Mytilus edulis: one gene and its partner. Each later gene encodes a partner of the first gene's protein in a complex. Links are inferred from orthologs where the notes say so. Each region holds a gene or a part of one and is shown in the gene's direction. Other genes may lie near its edges.

Evidence for each region.
Region 2: ribosome quality control complex subunit NEMF-like (region 1) and ribosome quality control complex subunit TCF25-like share a complex: the UniProt entries of both Homo sapiens proteins name them as parts of the ribosome quality control complex. The link is inferred for Mytilus edulis from reciprocal best matches to the Homo sapiens genes NEMF and TCF25.

The regions. Positions count from the first base shown.
Region 1 is NC_092346.1:80,639,057-80,646,362, reverse strand, and holds the start of ribosome quality control complex subunit NEMF-like, read left to right. Parts: upstream 1-4,261; 5' UTR 4,262-4,309; intron 4,310-4,729; 5' UTR 4,730-4,803; coding exon 4,804-4,859; intron 4,860-5,921; coding exon 5,922-5,990; intron 5,991-7,306. Other genes in the region: alpha-mannosidase 2-like, read right to left, coding at 1,428-1,572, 2,575-2,721, 3,460-3,594. UniProt on the Homo sapiens protein: Key component of the ribosome quality control complex (RQC), a ribosome-associated complex that mediates the extraction of incompletely synthesized nascent chains from stalled ribosomes as well as their ubiquitin-mediated proteasomal degradation.
Region 2 is NC_092348.1:25,174,692-25,182,087, reverse strand, and holds the start of ribosome quality control complex subunit TCF25-like, read left to right. Parts: upstream 1-4,299; 5' UTR 4,300-4,404; coding exon 4,405-4,533; intron 4,534-7,396. Other genes in the region: uncharacterized protein, read right to left, coding at 1-91, 630-812, 1,295-1,334, 3,954-4,132. UniProt on the Homo sapiens protein: Component of the ribosome quality control complex (RQC), a ribosome-associated complex that mediates ubiquitination and extraction of incompletely synthesized nascent chains for proteasomal degradation.

The DNA.
Region 1 (7,306 bases):
GAGCGGACACGATCTTCACCACAGGACACAGGGTTGTCAACTGAAACCAAAGGTTTTTTTACCTTGACCTTTGACCTAGGAAGTTGTACATACATCATGACATGCCCTCTGGTGGTGGTTAATAAACATGTAAAGTATAAAGTATGAAATCATAATGGTTCTCTAGATATGGAGCGGACACAAAGTTAAAGTGTTACGGACGGACGGACAGACAGACTGACCACTATAAACAGTTAAAATGGTTGAATGGTCAAAACAACAGGAATAAATACATCTTTATTATTAACAGCTATATAAATTATCATAATCAACATCAACTAAATTCAAACCAAACAAACATTCATGCAGAAAATGAATATAATTCCTGGATTTGCATTCGTTTTACCAGCGTTCAGTAACTGTCAGCTGCAAAAAAAATGTCCAAATTTTGTCCGACTTATACGAGGGTCAGGACTAAATCCTCAGAATTTGGAGCTGAAATCGGATCGACTAATAGGAGAGTATCTACGGTAAACAGCATATTTGATTCTGAAGACTTGATGCAAAGCCATATGGGTATACATTTACAATTAATTCTCCATAGGCGGTAATGGTAACGTTTTCCTCCGTTGCTCAGTCCATATCGTTTACTTGAACATGTATGATGGCTCATATCGAAGCTGATACATTTATACATGTCTGGTTAAATTTTCGGGGTGGCAAGTGAGATTACTTTTTTCGCAAATTGATGGACCCCGGAAGATGGTGAAAAATGTCACTCTCCTCATGAAATAATCCCAAAATTCTGATGATAAAATTCAATAAAAAAATTGTCCTTTCTAATAATTTATTTCAGGTCAAATCTACATCTTTCTTTTCTCATCACACCAGCTCTATAAAACAGTTCTTATTGTTCATTTATGTCCATTTTTAAAATCACAGCATCCACAATTGTATGGCGGACTAATATTTTTTTTAATTACGTCATCTGAGTTCCTCATCTCAAGGTCTATTAGGGATCCTGACCCATATGGAATCAATGGTTAAACACTTTTCTTTTCTTCTATGCTTTTAACAATAGGCTTCTAAAGTTTGGTTCAATTGAACTTTACAGTTTCCCCAGTTTTTAGGAGATAACTGTATTGTATTTTAAGCTCAGAAGGCATCAATTGGTGATTTGATGGTCGTAAACTAAGTTTACTGGCGACATGTTAACGGAGACGGTAAACAATTTTTAGACATTAAATCATCAATTAATGGCGTTGGAGCTTAAGATACAATATCATAATCTCCATTCTAATGAAACTGACAGAAAAGAACTTTAAAACATGTATCAATTTTCAATTGATGCCATGAAAATTAGTGAAGTTATTCAATCAAAATGCATGTTACAAACGTTGTTGCATTAGAATAGAGATTGTATGCAGAAAATTAAGATTCAGCATTACCTGGATCCATATGAGAATGAGGCATAATGATGACCTTTAACTTTTTGATATTCCATTTATCCACAGTTATAAGTTGTAGATATCCACTGACTGGGTAAACATATTTTGGGTAGGATATTCTCCACTTATCAATTTCCTTTTCAATCTGTAATAAAAATCAATATACAAACAGGCTTCTAGCAGTACAATTTATTAGCCTAAAATATTGCTTCAATTTTTTTTCCAAAGTTTTAATCCCTTTGAAAGATCCTGGTAGAAACATTAATTTTTTTATTTATTGTTTTTTTTTTATTGAAAAGGACCAGCATGTCAACAACCTATAACACTTAAAATATGTATTGCCTGTTAAGTTAATTTTTACCAAAACTATGTGGACCTACCAAAAATTAAGGTTGCATTATATGTATCAAGAAAACTGAATACTGATAAATAAACCATGAAAATGAGATAAAGGTCAGAAGATTCTTGATAACAGGACATGTACATTTTACTTCAATTCTATAGACCAAATAAAGTTGACCTTCTACTCTATGACCATGGAAGCAAAGCTTGAAATTCATGAAATTCTCAAGTGGCAAAAAAAGAAACTTGTATTTCTGACCATATTTGTTGTATTCAGTATTATCCCTTCAAAATTTTTATGAATACCATCACAAGTTAATAGACCCTCAAAGAATATCTGTTTCACAGATGACTACAGATGTTCAAATTGTCGTAACCACCTCTTTTCTGAAAATGTGATCTACCAAATTAGACATATCACCAGGTAAGTACTTATATGAGCTAATAGACAGGTGCCACATGTGGAGCAGGATCTGCTTTACCCTTCAGAAGCACCTTTGATTACTCTCCAGTTTTTGGTGGGATTTGTTGCGCTGTCTCAAGTTTTCTTTGTTGTGTTTTGTAAATTATTATTTATCTTTTGACGTTTCCTTTCTTTGCCATGGCATAGCCAGTCATGAATAACCATATTTCGTGAATGAATGGTTAAGACAAAGAATAATATATGCATTTAGTATTAAGTATTCAACATTTTTAATTTACACATACTTATACAATTCCACAAGCCATATATAATGAAACTAGGTTTTATGAATTGAAAATATCTTATACAAGATACTACGAAATCTAGTAAAAGCTTACTTACAATGATGTCTGCTTCCCACTCAGATTGTTCATTAACTGAACACATCAAATGGTTCCTGTAGTACTTTTCATTCATATTTTTGACTGGAACTTCAATAATACCACTGTTAGGTTCAGTAAAACATTGATGGTCATTACTGATATATTCCTTAAATCATAACAAAAAACATTTAATATAAACAGGAGAAATGTAAGCCAGGCAGGAACCATTATATTGCATCAACATGATGTGATGGCCTGACTAATCTAATGAATTCAAAATTTACTGGTGACCACCATTGTTTGTTTATGTGGTTCATAAGTGTTTCTTTTTTTTTATATAGATTAAACTGTTGGTTTTCCATTTGCTTGAATCTACACTAGTCATTTAAAGGCCCTTTATAGCTTGCTGTTTAGTGTGAGCCACGGCTCTGTGTTGAAGACTGTACTTTGACCTACCCTGTATAATGGTTTACCTTTACAAATTGTAACTTGGATAGAGAGTTGCCTCATTGGCATTTATACCACATCTTCTTATATATTGTAACATACATTGTACAATGTATCCTCGACTGTTAAATTACCAATGTCAGACCATTGTAGCATATAGCTTTGTACAAGATTTTTTTTATCTACAATGTTTATCAGATATTTCTGTTTGAAATCTATTAAGAAAATACAGTAGACAATAATAGTCAATTGTCATACTTTTTATATTAGAAGATTAAGAACTTTAATTCATGCAAGTTAAGCTGCTGCACATATTCTTTGATCCTCTTTGTTCATGTGTAAAAGTTTGTTCTTTTAAGCATTTAAATATCCAAGCTACTACAATATGTCTGATTAAATAGTCAATGCTTATTTCATGATAATACAATAATAATTTGTTAAAAGAAACATGCAGTACCTTATACATCCATTTGACAGCCTGTGTTATCTGTTTTCTTGGTCTAACATCTAACATATGGTACAAAACCATACATACTATAGCATTGATAATGGTAAAGCATAGTAACATATAAATAGCTCTGCTTTTTTTCATTGTCTCGTCCTATTAGGCACACAAATCCTCTATTTTATCCATCTATGCCATCTATGCGTACCTAATAATTAAAGACATATACAATTGTAACAATGTTTTTTGTTAAAATTACTAAATTGGCAATATATTTATAAAATGAAAAACTGTATTTTCACATTGAAACAATGACCACCAGTTTATTTTGTTTTCTCATTTTATATTATATGCTCCCTTTCAAATGCAATGATCGGCCAAAAAAAGGGGGGTTCCAACCCCCCCTTTGGATCCGCCACTGGGTGGGGCATAAAAATTCGTTTTGGTTGAGATATTATCTTTTCTAAATATTGTTTTCAGTTAACTAATTAAAATCAAATATCTACCTATCTTTTTCTGATGATTTTGAGCTGTATATTCCTAAATATCTCTCCAAAAAATGAATTCCTCTGTATTGACATATAAAATAAACATACAAAGTGTAACTTGTTTTTACTAGTACAAAGGAATTTTGCATTGTGTATTTGTTCTCTAAATTCGTTATATAAATGGTACAGTAATAATTGGCAGTATTGGGCATTTAAATGTCAAGTTAGAGTAATCCCAGTAATCCCAGTTTCCACTTAGAAAATTTGGCGCGAAATACGTGAAAAACGTATCTCCTATCCAGAAGATTTCAGTTCTCGGGTTTTTTCTTTCATTTGGATAGATCACGTCATTACGAAACGGATGTGTAATGTATAAACTGGACCCCTGTTGTGTTCACTTATCGCTACACTGACAACAGGTATGGCCTAAATCCCGTGGTCAGAATTCTGACCACGGGATTTGATAATCCGACGAGACTAGTATTTATAACCCTACTGAGTTCTTAAGGGAATAAAAGATACCGGCTCAGTTTGTCAAGAACATGTTAACACGCTCGTTGGTCATTTATCTGCGCTACCACCATGGGGTTAATTAACAGATACTTATTTATTTGCGGCATCACACGGTATTAACATTTGAGGTCAATTTCCTATCACTATAATTGGTCAATTTTATTAGCGAATCGTTGAATTTGTAAAACTCGTCCAATTAATGCCAATGTGACAATGGCACCAACCCGTTCCTTCGGTGCAAAGCTATAGATGGAACGGCGGACCAGTTTAGTGTAATGTATTGAAAGAAACTTTCCCAGATTTACTGATTGAATTAACTTTTGTTTGATATTTGAGTTTCCAACAGTTAGAAAAAATGAAGACTCGATTTAGTACAATAGATATTGCCGTTGTCATTAAGGAAATAAGAAAGTAAGATATCAGATTTGTCATAATTTGGTAAATAAATTTTACTTATTTTGATAATCACTTTTCATTATCAGAATTTATTGCGTATTGAAAGTATGTATGAATCACAATTCCCAAAATTTATAAATAGTATTGTATTCATGTATATTGAATACACTAAAATGTATTCAAATGTCTTCATTTTTACTAAAGACAATATATATAGCAGAAAGTAAAATCACAAAAATACTGAAGTCTGAACTCCCTAGGAAAATAGGGCTCTTCACGGTTAGTTCGGCCATATTGGATAGGGGGCAGATTTTCATAATAGAGGTAAAAATGGTGTGAAAAATACGGGAAAACATCATTAAAACAGAGCTGTTGCTTGGAAACACACATAGGATTTCCCACACTTTCATACCATTTCCACCTCCTTCCAAAAAATCTGCCCCCTATCCAATATGGCCGAACTAACCGTGAAGAGCCCTATTCAAAAAGGATAGTCCCTAATCAAATGGCAAAATCAAAAGTTCAAACATATTAAACGAATGGATAACAACTGTCATATTCCTGACTTGGTACAGGCATTTTCTTATGTAGAAAATGGTGGATTGAACCTGGTTTTATAGCTAGCCAAACCTCTCACTTGTATGACAGTCACACCAAATTCCCTTACATTGTCACCGATGCCTGAACAAAACAAACAGACACAATAGGTAAAAATGTCAAAAATAGGGGTACAGCAGTCAACATTGTTATCATCTTAATCACTATAAAAACAACAAATGTAACGAAGAAGCACAAAAAGGCATACATCAAAATTAAAAATACTAAAATAGCAGATGTCATTTATCTGTTAGAGACATGTACAAAATGTATATAGTATAATTTTTGGGATGCAAGTTAACAAAATTATGTGTATGATTTAGATGACAGGGTGACTGCTTTTATTGTAGATATTGTGGGATGCGAGTTAACAATGTGTATGATATAGATGACAGGGTAACTGTTTTTATTGTAGATATTGTTGGATGCGAGTTAACAATGTGTATGATATAGTTGACAGAGTAACTGTTTTTATTGTAGATATTGTGGGATGCGTGTTAACAATGTGTATGATATAGATAGCAAGACATACCTACTTAAGTTACAGAGGTTAGTATAATAAAAACAACACTAATGAGAAAATGTTATGATCGATAAAATTTCGTTTAAGTGAACAACTTTTAAATGGAAACAATTGTAAACCAATTAAATTGAGAATGGAAACAGGAATGTGTCAAAAAGGCAACATTCTGACCAAAGAAAAGCCCAAGGCCAAAGCCAGAAAATCCAGCACCCATAGGTGTGCTTCAGCTTGCTTATTTACAAATGTGTAGTAGTTCATCAAAAATGGTTGTCACTAAATCTGGAACATGTAAATGAACCGAAAGTAAAAAAAAAACATTCAAGACTAACACTACATCAAATGTAAAACAGTGTTCTGTGGTCAAATTAAATAATATAAGTTTTAATAAATTAATCTTTAAAAGAAACGACAAAAAATGCCATTTCTTCATATGCAAGTATTTTGAATAAATGGTACCATTATCATTCTGAAACCGGTTTAGGTACAACAGTAGTATACATTTCAGAATTTTATAAGTTTAATGTCATTGATCGTGAATGCCTATGTAAAAACAGTTTCATATATCTGTGGACTAACTTTCCAATGATCATACTTCATAGTAAGGGGCCTAGTGGTCTAAATAGTTGAACTACTGTATCACTAGGCTGCAAGGTTTCAAACTAGTATGGGTCCAAGGTCTACATGTAGGTCCTGTCTTTTCTAGAAGAGGCCTTTTTATTTTTAAATTAACAAAAGTCAAGGTACCTACCATTCTTTTTTAGATGCTTTATACACTACCATTGATTTATTATGGAGGACCTTTCACTTGAAATTTCAAATGGTTCTGGACCTTTCATTATAAAAAAAATGAGCCCTTGGGCTGTTAACACTAAGGTTGTGAATTGGAATACCTGTATATGCATTTCAGTTGTTCTCAAATCTTTTATGTTATTAACTAGGATTGTCAGTTTTCCTAATGAAGATTGGTGTTTTTTTCCGAGCACTCTGATTTCCTCCACCAATAAAAACTGACTGCCAAAAAAAATAGCATTATGGTACTGAAAGTGGTGTTTAACAGCAATCAATCAATCAATTAATCAACAAATTTTCCAATGATCAATTCTAAAAGTAATTGTGAACTAATAATGCAGTTATCAATTATAAAAGTAATTGTGAACTATTATTCCAATGATCATTTATAACAGTTACTTTTATTCTTATAAAAATATGACAAAGTATTTCGGCACTATAGAAGAAGAAGGAGATGCTTTATTTCCATCAAATGGGCTCACAAGGAGCATAATATATTATCATTATAATATTATTTTTACAAATATAATAAACAACAAGTATACATAGTTAC
Region 2 (7,396 bases), on another chromosome or scaffold:
TTTGCAGCAGAGTATCTAGTTCCATATCTTCCTCATTACCAAAAGGTAACCATAGCACATGAATGGCAGAGAAATCAGGCAGCATTTTAACCTTGACAAAAAATAATTTATTATTTACAATCAAGTATTGAAAATGTTCAAGAAAAAAAAAATGTAATGTAAAGCAAGTTACGAGAATCTTGATAGATACACATATTATATTGTATTAAGTAAAACTTTATATATAAATCACCTTTCAGATAAAAATTCATTCATTCATATTGAAGATGTACTTTACATGAAAAATTTGCAACATAGTATCAAATTTGTGTTCAAAGCAATATTTATACCTTTTAAAAATAACGTAACTTTATGGAAATTTGTAGTATATTGTAAAACATGAAAAATTATTTATAATATTTAGGCTAGGTTTCAATTGACTCTTTCTGGGCCTTGTATAGCTGACTATGCGGTATGGGCTTTACTCATTGTTGAAGGCAATACATCAACCTATAATAGCTGTCAGAGGGCTTACATAGGCTATGCCTGTTGCCCAATCCAATTCAATTTATTTGAATAAAATATTGTTTAAACCAATAGCTGTTAATTTCTTTGCAAGTTAGACAAACTAGTTTAGCAAAAATTAATACCTGTGTTATTTCTACCATTGAATCAGCAATTTGTTGGTCAAGTTCTCCACTGTTAATTATCTCCCTTACATAGTTATACAACACAATACTGACATCATGGGCTCGTCTCTGTACTCTGTCACTAGGGGCCCTATATTTACTGCCTGGTCGGGTTCTAGTAGTTTCTAAGTCTAGAATTATCTGCTATATAATTTTAAAATAGAAAATTTACTTTTTAATTTACTTATTCTCTATAATTGTTAAAACATTGATTTCAAGTACAACAAATCCAGTGAGAGTAGGTATATATAATCCTTATATGATTTGCATATTAGGTAATATGTTAAAATGATTGGTTGTGAGAGCTATCTACATTTGTATAAGGCTCTTTATTTTTTTTTTATACAATGTTGACAGAACTACTTTTTGTAACCAATGTAAACAAGACATTCTAATATGGACAAAATCAGAAAATTAAAATAATGACATTGTAAACACAGGAGAAAGAAAACACTAATATACGTGTATAGTTATTGTTCTAAAAATACATTTGTACTAAAGCATATTTCACAGTTGACAAATTATTTCATGATCATTTTGATAAATTATGATAATTTCACAATTAGTATATATTTAATTGACATTATCACAATGTAAAAACACAAACACTGTTAACAAATGCTAACCTTGGGTGAAACGTTCCATCCTGATGAGTTTTTACTCCTTCTGAAAAGAAAATATATGAGAAACATAATAAATGCATAAACAATGTCACTTGTTGACAATTATAAGCAAGGCTATGTGAAACTATAACTGTCCAGAGCTTAAATAGCTTAATCATGCTTAACTTAAACTTACATACAAAAGTGATTCTCCTATACATTACAATTGTATGTGGCACTTAAAAAATAAAATTTCACATGAACTTGATGTGCATAATAATGAACTTTTATTAAAACTTTACAAAACCAAAAGCCAAGGTTATTCAGTAATCTTCTTATCTAAAAATCAGTGTGAGGCTTTTAACATGTAGCAAATTTTTTTAAGCTCACATCTTACTGCAAGACTAATATGGCCCTTGACATGAGTTTCAATAGAATTATTTGCTGGATGATAATCTTTTTTTTTTGTAATTTTGTAATTTTCATGATGAAACATGTGAAATTACATACTACAGTATTAGATACACATTATAAAAAATTAAGCGACATTTGTAAGATCATTCAAGTCATAAAGTTTTAATAATATATACATACACAATTGACCAAGCTATTGCTTTAGTCCATCGAAGACCTTAGCTGTAGGGTGATATCAAATTTTGGGGGTAAAACAACAGCAAATCAAAATGCATAAAAGAATTCTGCTGGCATAATACATTGCGCATTTCTTATGTTACTTTTTCTCGTTTGTCATGTGACAATCCTTCAAAGTGAATGTTAAGATGCAGGAACCAATGGGTCAATGTGAAAACTGTTCAAATATGAGAAAAGAAAGGGTGGCAGGCATAAATAGGTTGAATGAAAAATGAACAAATTGAGGTCAGATTTATAAGGGGACGAAGTCTCCTATTACCAGTCAGAGCTCAGACATAAATAGGTCTGAATCTGCTTTTGACTCATAGAGGTCTAAATTTTAAGTTTTAGGATTTGTCTCCCTTTAATGCAAGACAAAATACGACTTTAATAAGTCAAATATTGTTAAGCAAGAAATAATTGACCAGAATCCAAAAGTTGCAAATATCGACTCCTACAAGTCGATAAGTAACCAACATTTGTAAACTTCAAGACCCACGCATATTAATAAAAAGGTCACGCATCTAAATCAAATAATGACAACATTGAAAAACAATGCTTTGTCTTCTAGAGAAAAATATGAATGTCTAAAAAATTGGAGATAATGTTAATTAACCTTACAATGCAACCACCTGGAGCCACACTTAATGAGATAAAACATCTGTGTTTAGTAAGGATGTTCAATTAGGTAATTAAATATAGATAGGTCAAGTCCTTGTGAACTCTCAGATAGGTTTTTGCTGTCATAGGAGGTGTACTTTGGCCACCAAGTCAAATTAAGTTTTTTCATCAACATAAATAGACCTAAACAAGTCTGTCATTTTCTGACTTAGATAAGACTTCTGTAAGTCAAAAACAAAAATCGACTTGTTTATGTCTGAGCTCTGACTGATTACAGTAGAAAAATCAAGATTTTTTTTTTTTAAATCGGGAATTTTCATTGAACTAATGAACTCAAAAATTGTTATTTTTTTTTGGTCACTTTTATTAATTCACTCATTTGCGCAGAATGCAGAAAAAAAGGGGGGGGGGGTTTGTCCTGGGTTGGGAACCCCCCATTTTTAAAATGGCTGGATCCGCCCCTGATAATTATGTATAAACGTTACCTGATGGTCATTTTTTTTTTGTTTACATTGAAGATGACGTCATAACTTAAATAACGTCACAAGTAAAATCCCTACCAACAGAACCAAAATCAGAAACATTACCTTTTTTCCGTTTCTTTTTTAACAGATTTTGAAGTTACACAAAATAATTCATACAGACTTCGTCCCCTTTCACAGGTAATGCCTGCCTCATATTATGGGGACGAAGTCCCCAATTACGGTAGAAAAATCAATAAAAAACAAAACAAAAAACAAATCGGGAAAATTTCCCGAATTTTTCATTCTACTAATGAACTCAAAATAGATTTTTTTTTCAGATCTACTTCCGTTTCCGGTCTTGTTTGAATGAGACTTTGAATAAAATGTATATTTATCAACATATCAACAAATATAGGAAGGAATTTAACACCCAATCATTTTTAATAATTGTTTGATATGAAAAAGACGTTACCTGGATAACAGCGTTTGTTTGTTTACATTGAATATGACGTCATAACTTAAATAACGTCACAACTAAATCCCTAACAACAGAACCAATATTGGAAACGTTACGGTATTTCCGTTTCTTTTATCAACATGTTTGAATTAAAAAAAATAATACAGACTTCGTCCCCATTCACAGGTAATGCCTGCCTCATATTATGGAACCAAAGCCGTCACTCAGAAATGTTCAGCTCCAGAAGCAAAAAAACTTAATGGGTATGATTGAGGGGGGATAGGACCTTTATCGGGACTCCGGGATCGGGTGTTTTTAAGCTCGGGATTTCGGGATCTGGGAATTCCTTTTTTCCAATTTCGCGACCTCGTGATTTCGTGTTTTTAAGCCTGGGATTTCGGATTTTTAAGCCCGGGTTTGGGGATTAGGACCCCTCCTATCCCTCCTCATGATTGTGAACATAAGAGGGGCGAATTGTCTATGGGACGAGTTGTCATATTTTACTGCCTACTTTTGTGACTTCTTCAGCATCTTAGCCAAAGCGCCTTCAATCTTGACAGCTTGCTGGAAACATGCACATGACTTCATATAATTCCTCTGCCACAGAATTCTAGAAAAGGCTAGCAATTTAAGAGCCTGCTGAGAAATAAGAGTTGACATTTTACGCTGTTTTAGTTTACATGGGCGCATCCATGTTGTAGATCCGCACGGAATATTGAAGAAATTACATTTAAAAATTCAGAACTCACATTAATTTATTGTTTGGATCATTTGTAAGAATGCATATAATTGGTATTATTGTATTATTGGCTGATGTCTCCAATTTTACATATTAAAGCCAATACATTGAATATCCCGCAGTGTGTAACTTCCGGTCTCAACAAATTGTAAACATTGAACATGTGGAACTTGACATAAGAGTTCCTCGCTAAACATTTGAACTATTTGTCCTTATTTTTAACATGTCATCGAGGGCATTGCGCAAACTTCATGGTAGACAAGAATTAGAAGTTTTGTCTGTTGATGACGAGATAGATGAGGAAGAAAGTCCCGAGAAAACTCAGACTGCTGTTGTGAACCCTTTTGCACTGGTAAGGGAAACATTATGAACATTAAACGTTAGGCCGAAATTACTCTGACGTTCCAGTGGTTCTCATTTGGGGGTTCTAATCCCAGATCCCGCTTACTGTTTTGTCAGATTCCTGTATCCCGTTTACACTATGTATGTAAGCAATTCTTATTTTATTTTTAATTTCTCTTGTCCTGCATGACTTCATTTCACGTTTTCACGCCACAATAATTTGACTTTCATGTGTCATGCTTACAAAAAATCAGCAATCCCATGTCAGCTTAGACCCCAATGAGACCCACATCCAAGACAACCTGGGACCGAGGGACCAACTACCCCAGCTTGTCTGGCAAAACAGCTGTTGGACGTCAGTGTAATCTCAGACTAATTAAACATATGGCAAATGCAACAACACAATAGTCAGACACATGTTCAGATTCCAGTGATCTTTGATTTATTAAACATAAGTTTCAAACATCTTTGCCCTTTCCTCCTTTTTGCCACCCCCTTTACTCCAGAAATTCATAATGACCCCTTTAGACACCTGTGTAGTTTAAAAGTTTTGACAAAATGTCTACATCAGACTTAAGAAAATTTGTATTCAATATGGAAGGATATTCATAAGAACATGAAGAATATCTGACTTAAATTTATTTGATGAAATATTAACATTAATATTAATTTGTTTCTTACAATCATTATGCATTAATACTAGTATAAAGCATATTTTCAGCATTTTATTGGAAAATCCTATGCAAATCAAGTATTCAAAAAATAAAAATTCCATTGAGGAAAGAATTATCTTTACAGAATTTATTAATTACATAAATTTGTTTTCATCTCTTCTATTAGTTCTTAGTATAAAAATAAAAAAAATGTACAATGCACCTTGTCCCTATATGTCTGTAGGACAGGTCAAAGGTTCCCGTAAAATTTTGACGTCACAATAGAACTAACTGATGCCACAATGGACAATGATGGAAAAATGATTGTTGTATGATGTATTTAGTTCAACCGTCAGCGTTGCAGATTCTTGGGTCAACTGGCCCAGATTTCCAAATAGCCATAACATGTACGTACATGTTCAACCTCTACTGGTAGAGGACCTGAGTTACCAGCAGTTTCATTTACGTGGCAATTGGGACAACATCCCTAATGCGCTTTGAAATGAGGAACTCAAAAGTCATGTGTAAACAAAAATTCTCTGTGTAGTGATATTTGACACTTTTCTATGATAAACAAGTGACTGAGCTTAACCATTTGAGTTAATTTATAAAGTAGGGGAACACAGAATAAATGTGTAAAATCTATGGAGCTATTAAATGTGTTCAAAGTATTAAATTTTCAAAGAACTTTTTGTGTTTAAAATGGGATTATTTACCATGAGGAGGCGCATCACAAAAGGATACTCGGGGTTTGCTAATTTACGGAAAAAGTAATCTCACTTCGTACCCCGAAAATTTAACCACATATGTCAAAATGTCTCAGCTTCGAAACGAGCAATCACACATATCCAAGTTAACGATATGGACTGAGAAACAGAAGAAAACGTTACCATTACCGCCTATGGAGAAACTAATGCACATCTATACCCAATTGATGCAATGACCAACAATGAACATGTATTATAAAATAGCATAAGGTTCTAACAAAGGCAAGTCCATGAGTAAAAAAATATTTTTAAATCTGGTGAGTCCAAAGATGCATCAAGCTTGAAATATTGTGTATAAACTGAATACTCCATCATGCACATATCCAGTGGCGTAGCCACGGTTGAAATGATGTGGATGCCTTCGGCGAGCGGAGCGTGGCGAAAAAAAAATTTTGACTATTTTATGCAGAAAATTATATTTTTTTCAGACATTGTTCCTGTAAGCACATGTTCTCCCCTAGAATCTAACACTGGTTAGATTTTTGTTTTATTTCAAAATACCCACCAATTCATATAATTATATTTCAAACACAATTTTAATGTTTTCTCGAAATTCTCGAAATTGAATGTAATTCATAATTTATTTATTTGATGTAAAAGTTTCCCACCAATCTTATATTTGACATCTCTCATAAACGGCCCAATCACAGCGGCACTTCTGTATAAAGGAATTGAAGTGATCCCCTTTCCTAGCATTTCTAAAAAACGGCCTTATCACAGCGGCACTTAAGAATATAAGAACTGAAGTGACCCCATTAACGCGTCGTAGGGGACATCATCGAAATACCTGGTGTCCGTCCATCCGGTCTTGTTTGCACTCTCATGTGTACAATTCTTGACAGATTTTTATATCATCAGCAATGACAATTTCGAAAATAAGTCATAAGCTTTTAACTTTTGAAATATAAATTATACGGAACTCCCATTGCATTTTCTCTGAAGCTTTTATTTCTCCATTAAAAATAAAAGGAAAAGGAAAAATATTATTTTTTATTAGTTATTGCCCTTGTTCCTTGGTTACATAAAATATGTGCAATGCAGGGGACATAGGAACTTTGTTCTTTTATTGAATATAAAATTAATATGTGGACCTAGATAGAAACTTGAATTTACTGATAAGCCTAAGAATGATCACACTCTATTACAGATTAGTTTTTTTTTTCACGTCGTCTTTCATGTCACAGGAAACGATATCAGGATATGGTGGTTTAGTTGTCAGTTATGTTGTTAGTTAGTTGTAGAAGCCATCGCTCCGCTAGGCTCAATTTCAGATGAAACATGTCCGAGGATCTGTGCATCATCCTCTGCACTGGCCGTAGCCGACGACGTAGTCTTTTTACGAAAAAAAATAGAGATTTATCCATCTTGTTTTATTACATGCACTAAATTATCCTTTATAAAAGACCACGCATACTTCATCGGAAATAATTGGATGTTATCCTCATATCCTAAC